Arabidopsis thaliana: one gene and its partners. The protein of the gene in region 3 interacts with the protein of the main gene of each other region in a pairwise test. Each region holds a gene or a part of one and is shown on either strand. Other genes may lie near its edges.

Region 1 (3,839 bases), on a different chromosome or scaffold from region 3:
CTACGATCCGTATATTTTGCTTTTTCATGATGGTAATAAGCTTTACAAGGAGACATTTTATCAATGACAAAACTAAACACCGAGAATGGAAACGAAACGGTCCTTTTCGTCTTCAAGATGCAAAATTGACGAGCATAAATGACAAAAGAAAAACCAAGGCAAAAACTTTTATGAAAATTCAACAAAGCTACATTGGGGATACATGCACCATCATAAGCATAAGAATATTATCATTGTTCTCTTTTACCTTTCTAGAAAACAATAATCCCAAAAACCCTCTCTCGAGTTTTTTACTCCCTAATAAATGTAAAATTCAGAGACCCTCCATGATTAGCAAAAAATTGGACAACAGACTCAAGAACAGTAGTAACACAAAAAATATGAGTTGATGAAGGGAAGAAGAGAGAAAACGCTATGTGGTTGGAGAAGAAGACGAGGACAGAGGACGAGGAGGAGGCAAGAGTTGATGTAGATTCTGAGGAGACCTGTTCTGGCTCGGACTTGCTCTTAATATGAAAGGATGCTGCAATAGCTGCATAGCACTCCTCCTTTTCCCCGGTTCTCTCTGCAAGCAACACGAGATAAAATGCCGAAACTCCGGCGACGCAGTCGCTGGAGCTTCTGGAGGCTGAGACATACAAATGGCACACATAAGACTAGCCCAATCACCTTGTCTACTCACAGGGAAAGGAAACCTCCCCAAGTAAAACTCCAAAATGCTAACACCTAAGCTCCAAATATCTCCAGCATAACCATCATACTTTCCCTGATTCAAATCAGTGTTAATCCTCTCAGGACTCATATAAGCAATGGTTCCAACAGATGAATTACACGGATCCATAGTCTGAGCCAAGATCCTACTAACTCCAAAATCAGCAATCTTAACGTTTTTAGCAGAGTTTATCAAAAGATTCGATGGTTTGATATCACGATGAACTATGTGACGGCTATGGAGATAAGCTAAACCACTAAGAATCTGACGAGATAGATCAGCTAATTGTTGCTCTTTCCACACATGAGCACCTTCTAAAGAACCTTTATCCATAAACTCAAGCAAAACCTGGATCTCACCGTTCTGATCAAACATCTCGTGACATTTCACAACGTTTGGATGATTCACATCTCGTAAAATCTCGATCTCTCTACAGATCTGACGTCTCACAGTCTCCTCGTGGTTACCGTATATCACCTTAAGTGCATATAGACGAGAACTCGGACGGTGAATCACTTTGTATACCGTTCCACCTGCTCCGCTTCCGATACGGTTACCTCTCACTAAATCCGAATAGTTCTTCGCTTCTATGGAGCTGTTAGTGTTCGTTGAAGACGCCGAACCACCAGAAGACGGCGCAGATCCACTAGAGCCACCGGAACCACCGGAAGTAGGTGGGAGAGGAAGAGGTACAGCGAGAGAAACATCGCGTTGAGGAAGCGGTAAGGTAAGATCAGGACGGCGACGGGGACGGCTTTTCACCGGAACGGAAACTCCTGGAGGCGATTGAATCGGTCTCATCGCTTTTGGAATCAAAAGTTCGATTTTCTTCTACGATCTGAAAATTTAAAAGCTCGATTGAAGATTGAAGTAATGATCTTCGTCGTTTATAGTAGTAGTCTTCTTCGACTTCTTCGTCGTCGTGCGTTGTCGTATTCTAGGGTTTGTTTGTGGCAGGCTTAAATTGATTCGTTCTTCGAAGCGATCAAAATCAAAAGAAATTGAGAAATGAAGTTTCGTCGAAAGAAATTGAAAGGACACTGAAAAGGGAACGTTAATTTTTATTTTGAGAAAATTAATTAAAAGGAAATAAATAGCAAAATTGTTAAAATCGAGAAAAAGGTATCTACGCGATGTGTAAAGCGCGTGAGGATCACTTTCAAGCACGGAAACCATTTGTGACTTTGTGTGGTTGGTTCACTGGGCACTTCTGGCTCTGTTAAGTTTTTTTCAGACTTTACGCGGTGTCGTTTTGTTGGTTTTGTGATATAAACCAAGAAGAGGAAATCGAATTTAAATCAAACAAACGCGTAAAAGTGACATTGGAGATGGTCTAACCTGCAAATATGCGTACTGCGATTCAAAATACATGATTCAGAAAATCAGTTTGTATATTCTCATGTTTAATATTAAGTATGGTCTTCTCTCAACTTCTGACAGTGTATTGATTCTCCACGTATGTGCTTAGTTTTATGCTATTCTCACTGTTCTGTAACAATCAAAAGAACTTGTCTTTAGCCAGAAGAGTCTTTAAAGGCTTTTTTTCATTGTTCGCATACAAAAAGTGAAACAGAATAGCAAAAGAAGAAAAGAGATACACAAGACTCAGTGTGTCATTATTATGATCGGAAATGAGTTTTTCACTCAAGCTCCATTGTTGACAATAAAAAGAAAACAAATCTTGGTAACTCAGTTACTTTTGAATCCCTTAAGAACATAAGCTCAAAGTTGACTTCAAACTTCAGGTGTGTCTGACCGCAAAACTGTCAAGGAAAAACAAAAACATGAGAGAATGTTAGACAAATGGATCAACAAGAAGAAAGCTGAACCATTTTCAGATAGACTAAATCTGGAATCATTGTCTCAGTAAACCCTATTTGAGAAATGAAATCATTCCAAATTCAACAATTTGAACATAACAACAACTTATGAGAAAACAAAATAGAATGAAATTAATCAAATCCAGAAGCAGAAGAGAGACAGATTAAGCGCAAAATCGATGGAGCTTGTTAAAATGATTCATCTTCCTCTTAAATTCAATAGCTTTCCCAAAATGACCTACTCTGATATCTACGTATTCCAACAATTTCAATGACACACAACAAGAACATGAAGAATTCAGATCCAAACATAAACGAGAAAAGACATCTAAATGCAATGTTCCCAATCAGCTTTCCATCTTCTTCATGTTCTTGTTTCACACATACTACTAGTTTTGTTGTTTTCTCTGAAGCTAACTCTAAATGAAAAATTCAACAATTTGGACATAACAACATTGTATGAAGATAGTATTGAACTGATCAAATCCAGAAGCAGAGGAAAGGTTAAATGCAAAATCGAAGATCAAATCCAGAAGCAGATGATTCACTTTCCACTTAATTCCGATAACTTTTAGGAAATCAGATTATTCCAACAAATTACTCAAAAACAAATCAGGAATCGAGAACACAAGAACGTGAAGAATCCAGATCTAAGATCCAACATCGACGATTAAAGGATCGAAAAGGCTTACCAGGTTTCTGGGGCTTTCCATCAGCCCATTTGGAGAGAGAGAAGTGAACCTTCTCGCGAGTAAGAGCTTCAGCTTTGTGTGGCTCCTTGAGACAGTTCCTCACGATATTCGCACAGATGTTTGAATACGATATATATGTCATCCCCGCCGCTCTCCAGAACGGAACCGCCGCATTCGATGCCATCTCCGATCTTCTTCCTTGTCTTCCTTCTTCGTCCGTTCCGATTCTAAGGAGAAAGTTCGCGAAATGGGACAGAGACCGATTCTGTGCCCTAGTAATCCTAACACAGTTTAGACCCAATGGGCCTTATTAAATATTTTAACGGCCCATTAAGTAGCTAACTACACGAATCTTCTATCCAACTTTCATCTACTGAAATCTCTCAACTTTTTTTTTTTTTTTGGTTTCTTGTCTTTTTTATTTGTTTTTATGATTGTTTCTTGGAGTTTACGCGAAGACTGAGCCAAACCAAGCTTTGCTATTTTAATACCTTGATTAGGCAATTAGAAATTTAAGCGAAGTTACATAAAAATAGGAAAACAAACAAACTTATTTCCAGGAGTCTCCACGAAATTTACTCAAAACTTATTCTCATTTTCAGGTAGATTGAATTT
Region 2 (3,839 bases), 4.7 Mb from region 3:
ATCTTTCTGTTAGAAACATCGAGAGATTGACATTTTAATATATTTCCTTATTGGCAAATAGGTGAATTTTTATTAAACTTGTGAATCAAGTTATGTTTCCATAGAGTTGTTTGATTGTATAAATTAGACTGCTCGTAGATATTTATCCAAAATATTGTTATTAAATGGGCAATAATAGAATGGTGATTACAATGTGTTTCTTTACACAACAACCAAACCAAATAAGAACAAATTACAAATAAGAATTCCTTTACAAGAAAATATACAAACTTTAAATCAATATTTAATAACAAACAAAATTAAGAGTATTAATCGAATATCTTTGTGTATGTATTGTCTTTAAAACTATGAGTATACGACCCGAACAAAATCCAGTTCTACCATGGGACAGGTGACGATGTGGGTGACGTTAAGCTGCAGATTAGATAAAACAATTCTGTTAATAAACCATAAATATAAATCATATACTATGTTAATCAATGCGGAGATAGATCTTACTCTAAGAAACTTTTCCAGCAAGAATCACTTGTTTCATCATCAAGAAACTTCTCCCAGTCCTCTAGGAAATCTGAACCGGATGAGTGTTGAGCTGTACTGGGATGGTTCAAACTGGTTGTCTCGGGAGAGACCGATACCGAACCAGTAGATGGGGTTTCTAGTAGTTGATCACCATAGTAACACGGCATCATACCGGTTCTGATATGATCATTTACCTTGGTGGTCGTACTGGTACCCGGTTTTGCTGTATTTAAACTCTCTTGAGAAACCGTAACCAAACCAGGAAGCTGGTTATCTTCAAAACCATCCCAAACATTTTCATAAGATGGAATGAAATCCGAGGCGGCCTCAGGAGTGATTCCACTTTGGTTTATGAAAAGACCAGCCGGGGGATCCGGTTTAGGATTCACTGAATTGGTATTGAAGCTATTGACTACCGGTTCTGGTTTAGGATTCAGTAAATTGGTCTTGAAGCTACTGATGTTTGGTATGGCTTTGGGGGTTATGATTTGAAGCATTTTATGGATCAATTGGAGTTTAAGAATATCTTCCAAAGCGGTGTTATTGTTGAGGAGGTTATTGTTACCAAATTGGCCATTGTTGATTGCTGCCGCGAGCATTTGAGAAACATCGAGGATAGGGCTAAGATCGTTGGTTCTTGGCTCGTGCGTCACTGGATCAATCCCCATTTGCAATAACTTCTTCCTCATATGAGTGTTCCAATAGTTTTTAATTTCATTATCTGTTCTTCCTGGAAGATGACCCGCAATTTTCGACCATCTGTATGGTAAAAATTCGACTCAAACGTTAGTAAAATGAACCAACGAAAACTTAACCTTTTGTATGGTTAGAGAATTATAAACTAAAGTTTAGACTATAGTCTTGAGGATGTGAATTCTATAATAGCAATAATAAACTATGCAATGGTATCCATACGTAAATTTGTTTTTGCACTTTATATTAATTTTAAAAGAACTGAAAATGGTTTATATTTTAAAATTATGAAAAAAACATGTAAACAGGAACACATAATTACGTCTGAAACAAGCGAGACCTAAATCATTTAGTGCTAACAAAATAGCATAAAAGCTTTAACGAAAAAAAAATAGTCTTACTTGTTGCCAAGGAGGGCATGGAGTCTAACGATAGTACTCTCTTCTCCATCGGAAAATTTGCCTCTCCGGATATCAGGCCGGAGATAATTCATCCACCGGAGCCGACAGCTCTTGCCACAGCGGTTAAGTCCAGCGAGCTTAGGAAGCGACCGCCAATTCCCATAACCATTCTCGTTTATATAAGCAGTGAGCTTATCATCTTCTTCTGGCAGCCACGGTCCTTTCTTCACGCCTTTGTCTTGATCGCAACACGGTGATCTTCCCATTTTGTTTATATCAAGAACCAAAACTTATCAGAGGTTTTTGAAGATATGATCTTCGTTTCGTCGCTCCCTACGATTAGGTTTGTATGTATATATAGATGTGAAAAGCAGTCATGACATAACTAAAGTAAAGTTGTGTATGCATTCGTCAGAATTTGGTGTAAATATTATTTTTCATAGTGTGTCATAAGTCTACAATATATGAGTCATTCAATAAATCAGTTAAATAACCAAAATAGTTATAACAAAATCAAGATTAGGTACTGATAATATGATATGTGTCATGGCGTTCGAACTTCGAAGAGTAATTCGTGGGGATGATGTTCAAACAAATAATTTTTATATAAAAGAATACGAATAATTGTTAATGCATTAATGGATTTTGTTATTGTGGGTTAGATGTATAAAATATTTGCCCTAGCTATGTTAGAATAAAATGTTGATATTTCCCTACTAAAATCTTTTTTTTTTGGGACCAAATTTCTTACGCTCTTTTACTTGTAAAACAATCACAAATTATATACTATTTCATAATCTGCAATTCAAACTAATCTTATTGAAATTATGTTATAAAAGAAAGCCACATTTTTCAAAAATTAAACATGCATGTGATCATTTTTGAATATTTCCTATATATGTGTATATTTCTCTATTTAGATTAAAACCTACAAATAAGAATTTCGCATAAATGCATGATTATAAATTAAACTTGTTAACTACTTTTCTTGAAGGGTATATTTAACTAATATTTAATTGAAAAGCAATATTATGTTCTCATTGCAAAGTTCATCAAAATTGGAATCTTGCATTTATCATTATGTGATTGCTTCCACCGCATTCAAAGAATTATCTCTACCTGCTTCAATGTCTCATGGTTGATCAAAGCCTACCCTTTCGCTTCTTCTTCCTCTATTTGAATTCAAACGAAGATTATTATTATTCTCCTTATTGTTACCAAACCGTCGTTTGTGCCTACCATACGTTCTGAATTTCAAGTCACAAAAAATTACCTATGCTATTATCATTTGTTTTTTGTTTAATTGTTTTGTAATTTTTTGTTACGTGAAAATATAAATTTTTTACGTGAAACTCTCTTTAGTATAGGTTATCTCAATTTCTGTTTTATATTATTCGAAAATATACATATGGATTTGGATGATCAAGTTAATACGAGATTTTCGAATTGATTTACTTTGATAAAGGAAATGGATAGCTTTTTTCGATTGACTAATTTAATTAAAGAACTTCTCTCGCGGGTTCCAAACATTAAGTCGATAGCGTGAGGAACACATAAACGAGTAAGTGGATTTTATTAGAAGGTGTAACTATAAAGTTGGTATTATATATTACGTTGTATTATACTATTGGATCTTTGAAAAAATCTTTCATAATAGAATCTTGTTGTCTTCAAAGGAATGAGAAGGATCACGACAAATTAGAAAAAAAACATAAAACGAAATTTCCTACGGTTGGAGAAAATGTTTACTAGTATAATTTAAATAATGAGGTTTAATTTCACTCTCACGGAAGATCTTGTTTACATACTTAATTACTATTTTTTTACCGTTAAATTACTGTTATGGTTTAAAGGGTCAATGTTCAGGCTTGTTTCACATTGTCAAATTAAAACCAAACACTTACCAACTCTCTATTTATCACGTTGACTATTTAAACAGTCGTATATATTAAGGGTTCCATGTAATTAGTAGCACCATATAGTATAAAATTCCTATGCTATATTTATTTGACATTGTCAACGAGTATAGATAAGACAAGCCTTAAAATTCTATGTAATGTTATTGTTACGCGGCTTACGCAACAGATACATAGTCGTCAATTTGTAATTCAATGGCTGCTTCACTCTTTCGGTCTCTGTAGCTAAAATTGACTTCCGAATTCAAATGAGTTCATAACATTGTATAAACTTTCAGTCTAGATCGGTTATCTTTTTTCTTGTTTGGAT
Region 3 (3,600 bases):
AAGTTAAATGGTTTAGTCATTTAACAACATTCTAGTCATCTACCTTTATGATTAGACTAATTAATCCGAGTAGAGATTTTGATGTTTTAGCATAACGAAATCGAAGAAGATAATGTCCCAAATAAATCTTCACGAGCAGCACCAAAAGTTCTTGTGATAGTACTTTTGGGCCGAGTGAAAAGAAAAAAAACAAAAATAAGCCCCACCCATCTTTGGATGGATTCCACAATGGGGAAAACAAGAACAAATATGCACACCTATTTGTATCTTACATACTTTCCAACAATAATGCATCTCAATTATCTTAATTATCTTATAATCTTAATTAACATTTGAAAATGTATGTAGACTATGATTTTTTTTTTTTTTAATATCTCAATGTTACAACAATTTACCATGAACCAAAGAAACATGCCAATTTATGCAATCCATCATTAGCCCTACCTTGCCACTACACTTTGTTTTCTCCAGCCATTTCTTACATGTGCATATATGTATGTATATGAGATTGATGACATGTACCAGGATTGTTGAGGATGTGAATGGGACTCTGACACAACATGCTAAGCTGAGATTCAATACGACGTATAAACTCCATTGCTTCCTGAATGGGCCTTGTTAGCTCCTCACGATATTTAACCAACATGTCACAGTATGCTTCCTATTCATACCAAAAAATAAAAAAGGAAAATCAAGACTTCTAACACATATACACACAAAGAACCGACCCATTTAATTAAAATTCAACTTTGGTTAGTAATGAACCATGAATTGATCTAACTCCGGGTCTCTAGAGGAGGCAGAGACAGACGGTGTTGACCGCTGTTGTCGAGCCTCAAAGTCTTGCCGTGCCGCCGTAATTCTATCAACCACATCAGGTGGAGCTCCAATCTATATAAACCATGACCCATGAACATACATATATATGTCACACATAACTATATATTATATCTTTAAAAAAAGAGTATATATTATAACATAACAATAAGAATAAAACCAAACCTTTTGGCAGTCCAAGTAAGCTTGTAGGAGGGTAGAGTAGTGAGGATGAGCAATGATTTTAGCCTTCATGGCTTCAACATCGCTTACGTTGTCATTGTTGTTGTTGTTAGCTTCTTGAGTATTGTGGATGGCTCTCATTAACATGGAGTAATGATTGATTCTTGAGGAGCTAGCTTCAGATTTAACAGATGGGTTGTTGTTGTTGTTGGGTTGATCATGATCAGATCGGAAGCAATTCTCGGTTGTTTGAGGGAGAAGAGAGCTCATATGTGGAAACAACATGTGTTGGTGGTGATGATTGTTGTTGTTAGTATTATTGTAACCAGGACCATAATTGCTACTATTATTATTGTTGTTGTTGTTGTTGGTATCACTTGTGTTATCGTTTTTGTTGGAAGAAGAGATTGGAGAGTACAAGAAACTTACTCTTTGAGGAGTGGTGCTGTTGTCATGCTGGTATTCTTCCATACCCAGATGAGTAAAGATTTGAGAGAGAGAGAGAATATAAAAATCAAAGAAAAAAAATAAATTAAAAAAAAATAAAACCCTAGAAAAATAAAAAAGGATGGGTGTAAGATGAAGAGGATGTATGTATTCTTGCTTTTGTTCTTATTTCAATCAAAGGTCTCTGTAAGACTATAACCACATCAAATCCAGACGACTAGACGACTCATCTATGAAATCAAAAAGGCCTAACTCAAATTAATATAAAAAAAGAGAGAAAATTTTGTGAGGTGAAGTTGCACCCAAAGAAAAACCAAATAAATTGAAAAAGATATATTTGAGGAAGAAAAAACGAACTAGGTATATAGAATTCGTCAAGGAAGTGACATGGAAGAGAAGAAAATAAAAAAAAAAAAAAGAGAAAGAGAGAAGAAGAGAGAAAGAGAGAGAGAGAGAGATTAACAATAATGAAGAAGTTGGGTGGCTTGAGTGGATTGACAAGACGTCGTTTGCTTTGGGAGCAAAAAGAAATATTTGAAAATTAAAATAAAGGTAAGAGAGAAGGGACAAGAGATAAGGCAAAGGCTTCTCTCTTCTGTTTTCCTCTCATAGGCTATTTTATACATTAGAACAAGACTAAGTAATTTACTTAATTAAAATGTGGTTTATAATATTCGAATTAAGATGAACCACTCAGTGTTTAAGCAACTAGGTCTTCGCGGCTACTTCAGGCTATGGTTTCTTGCTAGGTTGAATGATATATTTTGTACTATTTTCTAGTAATGAAATGTTTTTTTTTCTTAAAAGAATAGTCAAGAAAAAAGTTTTAAAAAAAATATGTATGATTTATATATACTTCTAATACGATATAAACCCAAGAATTTGTAGTCTAGTGGTTGAACATAGAGTTCGTTCAACAAATTGTGATCATGTGTCACATTATAATTCTATACTTAGGAGAGGGGACTACGTTTATCTTGTTCTGGTCCTCGGTTTCACTGTACGGGTTTCTGCCTAAAACTTACGGATAACAAAAAAAGAATTATAAACAATATGATAGAAATGTACATATTTGATGCAAGACTTGGATGTTTTTGGAGTTTAATCAAATCGATGAAATTATAATTTTAGTTTTCGTAATTTCGTATGTATATTAGTGGAGAGATCACACTATCCGAATATTTGTTATCGGATAGAAGATTACATTAGAAACCGAGAAAAAAAAAAGGAATTATAAAAATGCTTTACAGGATAGTGGATATTATACGATATTCTGCTAATTTCCAACTATTGGCTCTATGATAAGACCATGCTGCAAACACACTTCTTTCAACACTTGTTCTGTTCCACGGTCAACATTCAATTTTCTATTTAATCTCGATTTATATTTCATGATTCATGAGACGTATAGAGTGCCTATGAATTCATTTTTATACAAAAAGAAACGAAAATCCTAGGGTTTTATTTATATATAAATCGTCAAATCCTAGGGCTCTAGATCAAAAAGTTGGCTCATCGATAGATTTTTTTTTTTGTTTACCTCATCACTGCACTAGACCGAAACTTACATTGTGACTTGTGAGAGTTTGTAAACAACAAAATGTAAGATTTCTTACAAATTATGACTTGCTATGCCGGAAATTTTGATAGTAAATATTTAAATATATATGTATACATATATTATTTCTTACTATTAAAAAAATAAAATCAGCTGCTTAGAACCAATATTATTAGAATTTCATTAAAAAAAATCGAAAATGTTAAAGGTTAAATTTTTGCATTCGAAATGTTTTCTTTTCCTTTAAGACCTCCTCTTATTTTCTGTTTCAGTATAAGATGCTGAAACATTGACATCATAAAAGATCATTCATTAAGGGTACATCTTTGAATTAAATATCATAATATTCCAAAACACAAGTGCAATAGACTAAAAACACACTATAAATAAGTCTCTGATCCCAATATTCTCATTAATATGGTCATGCAAGAAGAATATATATATATATATATATATATATATATATAAATAAAAATATTATAATACCCATAACCATATGGATCTAATTTCTTATAATTTTCTATTAAAAAAAAAATTGTTTTCAAAAGTGTGTACAATTTCATAGAATTCTATCTTTTAGATTAGAAAGTCAATTA

The links.
Region 1: the proteins of KNAT1 (region 3) and MKK4 interact in binary tests that used the Arabidopsis thaliana proteins (3 or more experiments, as listed by UniProt).
Region 2: the proteins of KNAT1 (region 3) and MYB39 interact in binary tests that used the Arabidopsis thaliana proteins (3 or more experiments, as listed by UniProt).

What each region holds. Positions count from the first base shown.
Region 1 is NC_003070.9:19,152,249-19,156,087, reverse strand, and holds the start of MKK4 (mitogen-activated protein kinase kinase 4), read right to left. Parts: upstream 1,766-3,839; 5' UTR 1,514-1,765; coding exon 413-1,513; 3' UTR 1-412. Other genes in the region: AT1G51650 (ATP synthase epsilon chain), read right to left, coding at 2,447-2,475, 3,225-3,408.
Region 2 is NC_003075.7:9,881,490-9,885,328, forward strand, and holds MYB39 (myb domain protein 39), read right to left. Parts: upstream 1,944-3,839; 5' UTR 1,880-1,943; coding exon 1,614-1,879; intron 1,279-1,613; coding exon 499-1,278; coding exon of another isoform or gene 495-498; exon of another isoform or gene 415-494; coding exon 378-414; 3' UTR 110-377; downstream 1-109.
Region 3 is NC_003075.7:5,149,141-5,152,740, forward strand, and holds the start of KNAT1 (homeobox knotted-like protein), read right to left. Parts: upstream 2,020-3,600; 5' UTR 1,471-2,019; coding exon 1,003-1,470; intron 892-1,002; coding exon 766-891; intron 662-765; coding exon 523-661; intron 1-522. UniProt on the Arabidopsis thaliana protein: May play a role in meristem function, and may be involved in maintaining cells in an undifferentiated, meristematic state, and its expression disappears at the same time the shoot apex undergoes the transition from vegetative to reproductive development.